2 linked regions of the Danio rerio genome follow. The protein of the gene in region 2 purifies or fractionates together with the protein of the main gene of each other region. This does not show direct contact. Links are inferred from orthologs where the notes say so. Each region holds a gene or a part of one and is shown on either strand. Other genes may lie near its edges.

The links. Proteins that work in one complex are often made in the same cells at the same time.
Region 1: the proteins of gapdh (region 2) and siah1 purify together in Homo sapiens (affinity purification with western blotting; 4 studies listed by BioGRID). This does not show direct contact. The link is inferred for Danio rerio from reciprocal best matches to the Homo sapiens genes GAPDH and SIAH1.

Annotation. Positions count from the first base shown.
Region 1 is NC_133193.1:19,825,026-19,828,965, reverse strand, and holds the start of siah1 (E3 ubiquitin-protein ligase Siah1), read right to left. Parts: upstream 2,801-3,940; 5' UTR 2,635-2,800; intron 1-2,634. UniProt on the Homo sapiens protein: E3 ubiquitin-protein ligase that mediates ubiquitination and subsequent proteasomal degradation of target proteins.
Region 2 is NC_133191.1:17,266,661-17,271,157, forward strand, and holds the start of gapdh (glyceraldehyde-3-phosphate dehydrogenase), read right to left. Parts: upstream 2,972-4,497; 5' UTR 2,929-2,971; intron 2,544-2,928; 5' UTR 2,521-2,543; coding exon 2,498-2,520; intron 766-2,497; coding exon 666-765; intron 583-665; coding exon 476-582; intron 357-475; coding exon 266-356; intron 187-265; coding exon 71-186; intron 1-70. UniProt on the Homo sapiens protein: Has both glyceraldehyde-3-phosphate dehydrogenase and nitrosylase activities, thereby playing a role in glycolysis and nuclear functions, respectively.

The DNA.
Region 1 (3,940 bases), on a different chromosome or scaffold from region 2:
AACATTTCAAACATTTGGTAGAGATTGATATTTCAGAATTTATAGGATGTGTTGAAAAAAAAAATACATTGAGTGTGTTAATTATGACATTACGAGTTGAGAAATGTAATCCAAATATTTTTTTTCTTGGTGGGATAGGTAAAGGGTTGAAGAATCAACTTGACATGGTTTTAAGAAAGACATAAGAAATAGTTTAAAATCCTAGCAACAAATTGACATTTTTAACTAAAAACCATCTATTCAAAAATGTTTAGTTTTTTTGTTTATAAGGAATATATCCCCAGATATACAGCTGCAGGATATTGGAAAAAATGTACATTGCGATATTTACATTTTCTGCACTTTATATTGCCATTTATCTCAAGATAGCTTAATTAATAATTTTAGACACATTGGGATGGTTTTGTTGAGGAGTGCATAAAATATAATCAACAAATTACAACTGCAAATGACTATTGCGTATTCACACATTAATGCTGAAACAATATATTGTGCAGCCCTACCCAGATCATTTAATTATTACAAATTTTACTACAACTACTGCTATTGTTAGTAATATATATATATATATATATATATATATATATATATATATATATATATATATATATATATATAATAGTTAAAGACATATTTAAGTCATTCTGTGCTTGTAAGCATAAAAAGATCCCGCCAGAGAGCCTACATTTGTATATGAAGAGCTTATAAACAATAATAACAAAAAACGTTGTGAAGAATGCTTCCAAACATAATATGTATACAGTTCATTCTCCTCACACCTCACAAATGAAGGTGAAGGATTGCATTACCAAGCACCTGGACAAGGATGAAACCAAAAAAAAAAAAAATGTGTTTAACCTCATGACATTTCTAACATTCAGCAGTTCTTTTTAAAAATAAGCTTTTCTAAAAACCTGGATTTATTTTGAACAATTTCATGCAAATGTTAACCTTGCCATTAAAAATGAATTATGTTTTCACCAAAGTAGTGAACCCCTTTCTATGTTTGTGTAGGCCTGTATTTTACTGCATAGTAAAAAACACATTAAAAATCTTTCTGTCAATGTTTTTCAACAATTATATTTGATTAACCAAAGTCACACAAGTGCTAATTTCACATCCATCACATCCATAATTGAGAAATGTCATATTCATAACGAAGCTCTTTCTTCATAAATGCAAAAATGTAAAATAAAATCAATAATTTTTGTTCTACATTAAGCCAACTCTTCTCCTTGTGATTAGCATTGTTTCTTTGGGGTTGTGCCGTTTCATTCACAGAATTTCTATAAAGAATGTTGTATACTGTAAACTTGCAGACTTCTTTAGTCAGATCCAAAACGTATGTTTATTTAGCTCATTTAAATTTTTTTTTAATTACAGATTGATATTTTTTGCTCCCATATCTCAGTGGTGAGCTGTTTTGGAAAATATAAACAGATGTTTCGATATAATGTTAACATATACTTTCTATGTAAATTTAAGTTTTAAGATATTACTGCAAAAGTCACATCCACGAAATTGCATCATTTATGCATCAAAACATCTTCACAACAAGATTACCTTTAGTACAACAGGGTTAGTTACAGAAGGGATTTGACCCTATCCTATCTAGCTATTGCTTCAACCACCTGCAACTTAACCTCGTTTACTGTAATTGATAGGGGAGGTGCTAAAACGGATCCTTAAGGATAAAGAACAACAAAAACAGTACCGTCTAATTGAGTCGCAACAACGATGTAAGCATAGGATCTCCATGGCGAATTGCAGCCGCTTTGTAAACAAATCGGAGTGGTGATCGAGCAGCCAAGTTCAAGGCGTCTGCGAGCACGAAAGCTTAAAATAAATCCCATGTGTAGCATTCACGACATTAAGCTCCTTTAGGTGTCACATGCACAAGCACATCTGATGATTTTACTGTAACATGCTCGATCTGATCGTGTCGACCCTACACACAGTGTCGGCTGATGGTTAGCCTTAACGTTATGCATGTTTTTCTTTTGGGCTGACTTCTAAATCAACACCACCATATGTTATATTGACCATAACCAGTGATAAAATGTTTTCTGTAGCACATGTTGGTATCGGTCTCTGTGTTCAAGTTAACTTTTATAATGTGAGGCTGCTTTTGCACCGCAAACTAATACAGTTTCTGTCAGTCAAGCCATCTCTGTATGGCTAGAAACAGTCAAAAATGATCCGTTGACAATAAACGAGGTCTTAATCTTAGGACTGAAATATAAACAGAAATAACACGTCTGCACACATACGCTAATTACGATTGGAAAACACTGCACTGGTTGCATTACATTTGATTTCGTCACATAAACAGTGTTTCTCACTTAGCACAAGCATATAAAGCTAGCAAAGGCAGGCTAATAATGGCTACATGGACCATATATCGGCGTTTAAAATATTTAAAAAGCATTTTGTTACTGGATAAGAACCACACAGCGAATCACATTGTGTTAAAGAAAAAAATGAACTCACAAGATGTGTTTTGCTGAGGAATGCAGTAAAATTGTTGATAGCATGGTCGGCTAGCCGCTTTTTAAGCTAGCTAGCTCGCTAAGCCTAGTAAAATCAACAACAGATCCATTATCCTCGAGTGGAGGATTTAAACATTGCACTTACCTCCAGAAAATATCCCTCTGCTGCCAAACGAATTAATTGTAAAAAATAATTCACCACACGTCGGGCAGCGTTAGGTTATATGTCCGTTAATCGTTTGGTTGTTTGTGTTTCCACATTCGCTAAAAAGAGACGCTGCTGTCGCCCGGCAGTCTCGGTGTCGCGCACTGACTGAAGCTGTTGAAATATATTTTCACGGGAACGGCGCTGCAAGGATACGCGAACGCGCTTCAGACACATGAACGCGGGAAGGAGAACAACGTTGGGCCAACAACACACAGATGGAAGAAGTACTGTCCTCAGATTAGGAGTTATAAGAATATAATATTTTATTTAGACAAATTAGCACTTTGGTATAAAACAAAAATTGAATAAAACTGGATAAAAATAAACTACATATCATAGGATTTTAAAACAATAAATAAAAAACTGAAATATGATTTTAACAAGTGATCTAAATTTAATAAAACAATTAATTAACAGTAGATTAAAAAAACAAATGCAAGTTGTAGCTTAAAACAAATGATAAAAAATATAGAAAAAGTAAAAATGCAATAAATAAATGTTATTACATTATTGAAAATGTAATAAAGTTGCTCAATATAAATTTACAACGTTCCAAGATTTTTCCCATATAAATTGGGTATTTATATATTATATTTCTACATAAAGTATTATTAACATTTGATTATTGCAAGGCATCACGATGGCACGATCACCTCACAGCAAGAAGGTTGCTGTTTCGAGTATAGGCTGGGTCAGTTGGCATTTCTGTGTTGAGTTTGTATGTTCTCCCCATGATCGAGTGGGTTTACTACGGGTGCTCCAGTTTCCCCACAAGTCCAAAGACATGCGGTATAGGTGAATTGGGAAAACTGGATAAGTTGGCAGTTAATTCCGCTGTGGTGGTGACCCCAGATTAATAAAGGGAATAAGCTGAAAACAAGATGAATGAATGATTATTGGAAACACTATTTAGATAATAAAAAAAAAATTAAATTTGTATCTCACCAACACTGACTCATGTGTTAATAAAAAGAAAACAAATAATAATAATAATACATTTGTTACTGTTGTGTTAATCAGCTTTTAAAGATAGTCATTTTTCTATAAAATGGTTGTACTATTAGCTCAATGATTGGATCTCAAACACCGAAGTCGAATATGATTAAAAGACATGATTCAATAAGGCAGCTGTAGTTCGACAATGCTGAAAGATCTGATGCAGCTGGTTCAGTTTTTAATATTTTCTTGAATATGTGTTCTTGAAAAAAGCAAAAGTGGATGTTTTAGTTATGTAACCTGAAAA
Region 2 (4,497 bases):
TCAAACAAGCAAATACTTATAAGTAAATAAATAAATAAATAAATAAATAAATAATAAAAACACCATTTACCTTACAACTGTGAGAGAGTTGTCATATTTCTCATGGTTGACACCCATGACAAACATGGGGGCATCTGCACTTGGGGCAGAGATGATGACTCTCTTTGCACCACCCTTAATGTGAGCCTACCAGGAGAGCAAAATTTCAGTTACAGAAAAACAATTGTTGTTGCAGGCAGCTTATGTAACATCCATGATTACGTACAGAAGCCTTCTCAATAGTAGTGAAGACACCAGTAGACTCCACAACATAAGTAGCACCTGCATCACCCCACTTAATGTTGGCTGGGTCCCTCCTGTTTAGGCAGAGATCATGAGCATAGCCCAATGCTTGCAAAAATAATAATAATAATAATAATAATAATAATAATAATAATAATAAAAACCATGCATAGTTTGGAGGAACCGCACTCACTCGCTATAGACTGTGATTGCATGACCATCAATGACCAGTTTGCCGCCTTCTGCCTTAACCTCACCCTTGTACTTTCCATGGGTGGAGTCGTACTGGAACATGTAAACCTGTGAAGAAACAAGCACTATAAATATATTCAAAATAACCCCAAAACTAGTTAAATAAAAAAAAAAAAAATTAAGGAACTTGCCATGTAATCAAGGTCAATGAATGGGTCATTGATGGCCACGATCTCCACTTTCTTGGTCAAGAAAGCAGCACGGGTCACCAGACGGCCAATGCGACCGAATCTGAAAAAAAAGCTCATTCATAAACACTTGCTTTCATCTCACATTAAGAAAGAAAAAAGAAAAAAAAAAGAAAACAACCGCAGTCAGGCAACTTATCCACTAGATGGCAGAAAGGACCCATTTCTGAACATGCACAAAGTCAAACATTGTGCCCTTGTGAGCGCAGTAACTCTGGGTCAATTGGAGAGTGGGAGCAGACAGCAGTTAAATAAATTAATTTTAAAAAATAATAATAAATAATAATAATAAATAATAATAAGTAATTAATAGTATTATTATTATTATTATTATTATTATTAATAATAATAATAATAATAATAATAATAATAATAAACCAAAAATATAAATAAACTCTGGGGAAAGTCAACTATGTGCTACAGGAGATTAAGAGCTAGATCATGAAGAATGGGCTTTTGGATGAATGATCTCCACAAATATTTGCCCCAGCTTCATAGAGGCATGTCCTCCAGGCAAGGATACAAATTCCATAGGCCTCCAGCTGCCATTGTGAGCTATTTTAGTACATCCAACAACACTGCACAAAATGCAGAGAAAGAAGGACTGACCCCACAAGGAGTTCCAGAATTCCCTTTTTGTTTATTGCAACACTCAGCTGTACATTCAATCAATAGGTCAAAGAAAGCAGCCTATTGATACTGCGATAATGATCACAGTACATACTTTCATGCACTGATAAGACACTGATATGGTAGTGGTACACTTTCAAAACATTTGCATCAAGTCTGTAAAGATAGAGAAACAGGGCAAAGGTAAAAATTTCCAGTGCTCTTAGCAAATGTGGATTGACCATTTGTCCAGTGCCATTAGTGTTCAAATCATAAAGTCAAGTGACATTGTAACAGGCTTTAGAAAGGGATTTTGTATTTAAAGTTATTAATTTGATAAACTGAAGACCATGTCAAATTACTTGCATAATTGAAGTTTCATATAACTTTAGATTGTATAAACCCATGGCAAAAATGCAAAGTAGGCCTATTATAAATTTCTTGCTTGTAAAATGAACCAAGGCTACTTAAGGACACCACTGGGGTGAACTTGGGGTCATAACCTTTTGAGTGCCTAAAGACAGACTTCCATCTAAAGGTGGATATTTTAAGTCGCAAAAGACTTGTGCTGTAATTTAGGGTGCCTAAACTTCACAGCACAGTCCTGGATGAGCATTAAAGTTTCAGGTTGTGTGCACATGAACGATATGCATGTGTCCTGTACTGGTCTCTTCAGGATCAAGTTTCCTGTTACACAACCCAATAAGCTTTGAAAAGGTCACAGCTGGTGCTGGGGGTTTTTCAATGCAGAACACACAAGCTTGGATTCTTGAACCCAGAGTCCTGTACAACATGGTCTAAGTAAAATGCAGACTCGAAGCAAACTTTGAACCTGGAGTAAAATACAAGGCAAAGAAGCCAAGTACACAGATAAAAATTACCATTATTTGTCGTCATGATGACGTCAATGTACACAGCGATGGCACAACACCAATAAAGCAGTTTGACTGGCTGGCTTAGGTGACACCCCCTCCAACCATTCATTACAATCAATTAGAAAGTCAAAACTTAATACAACTTCCAGAAAGCATTTAACAGCAAAACACTAACAAACAAGCTTATAATAAAATAAAACTGATGTCCTGTTGTTCAAAACAATTAATAATAAAAGTTGCAAGCAGCCTAATGTTCATTTCTTTCATATTTGAATCAAATGGAGTACATACCCGTTAATACCAACTTTAACCATTATGCCTGATTTGGTTGTGTCCTCTGGAAGGAAAACAAAAGGTTGTAATTAATTCACACGTTATTATAGGCGTCTTTCGTTATGGGAACAAAGTACAGGTTGTGAAACTGCAACACCTCTAACTACAGATAGAGAGTGAACAAAAAGTTCATACACATTTGTAGTTCACAGTAGCCTGTTGTATTCATACTCAAGCATTTCCCAATTGGCCAGAAAATGTAGGCTAGAAGTTCTAAAGAGCATGAACTCTCAGCTTTCATTAGAAATGTTGCTCCATGCCATTAACATGCACATATATTTAAAAGTTGCTAACATTTGCAAAGGCTTCACCAGCGCAATCTGAGCAAAGACTACATAATTAAACACTAAATAATTCAAGCATTTGAAACATGAAATAACTAAATTTACCGTTTGTGAGAAGCCTCTGTTCGTCCTGACACTTGGTGTGAGTGGACTGATTACGAACACGAGGATAATTTATATCTGGTGCGATAGCATTGACCACGCCCCCTGGACTTTAGGCTATAAGTACCACGCCCCCTGGACTTTAGGCTATAAGTACCACGCCCCCTTAGAATGTCAAGGTCGTACTGGGGTACAGTGAATGAAACTACTACATCTACTGAATAATAATAATAATAATAATAATAATAATAATAATAATAATAATAATAATAATAATAATAATAATAATGATGATGATGATGATGATGATGGCATATATGACTGATGATGATGATAACCAAGCTTTGCTAGAGTATTAAATATTATATAACTAGTGACATATCAAAGTTTCCCTTTGTACTTTTTATGAAAGAAGCAATGACTATGATCGAGAATTATGCTTTCTCAAATGGCCATGATTCTGTAAGCACTTCAGTAATATGTAGTGCATTATGAGAAATAAATGGTTTGCAGGTTATGTATAAGGAAACCAGGCAGAAGTAATTTAGGCTTGTAACCCTATGCAATTTGTACACTGGCTAAAATAAATAAATTATTAAATAAATGTATTTAGTATGTATTATATGTATATTTGAGATGGTCTGTCCACTCTGACCTTCTAAAACTAGCCCAGACCGTGCATATGAAGCAGGAGATCAAATCGCCCTCATCATGAGTGTGTGACATTTACAGGAAAGACCATGACCCTTCCCTTTTACTCAGGCATTCCTGCATCCCACGATCCTTTGCATCAGTAGGAAATCCAATGCCTTTGTACCTACACAGATTCTTTGAGCCTTCACATGTGCATATCTGTGCAAGTAAATCAAATGCAAAACCAAAGTGGTTGTAGCATAACATAAACATTATCAAAAGTGACAAGAGTTTAGAGAGTGACAGTGTGCATTAATAGCTCTATCAAATTTGATTAATTACACTACAAATTTGCATACTGACTTTATGGTTTTATGAATTTGCATATTGAGTTTTGATTAATCACATTATAATCTTTCTGTTATCCATCATTCATGTTGGTTTTAATTATGTTAAATGCAGCTAACTTTTATCCCTTTGTCTGTAATTAATCACAGGTTTGTACTAGTAATTAACACAGACACTATTAGATCTTGCACAGAGGACAGACTGAAAAAAGATCCATGTATTATAGCGATTAGCTGTCAGTGCAATGTTATAAAGTAGCTCTCCACTTTTGTTGCAAACATGACTTGTAACAATGCAGTCTTTCTTTGTTTTGACTTATTTTTACTCAGTGTTGGTTTGTATCATCTCAGTTTGCACATCTGACAATTTTCGATTGTGACTATTGCTGTTGACCCTTGGCCTTTGGTCTTCTTATATTTCCAATGTCACGAGATGAAAAGATGCCCAAGTTGGTTTTGCCACTGAATATAAAAGTGCAGCATCACCATTTTAAATCTGCCAGCCTTTAATCTTCATTAACATCTTTAGTTTGACTGAAGTATTTGCTTCCATTTAAAGTCATGATTTATTTAAATGGAGACACTTCTGACC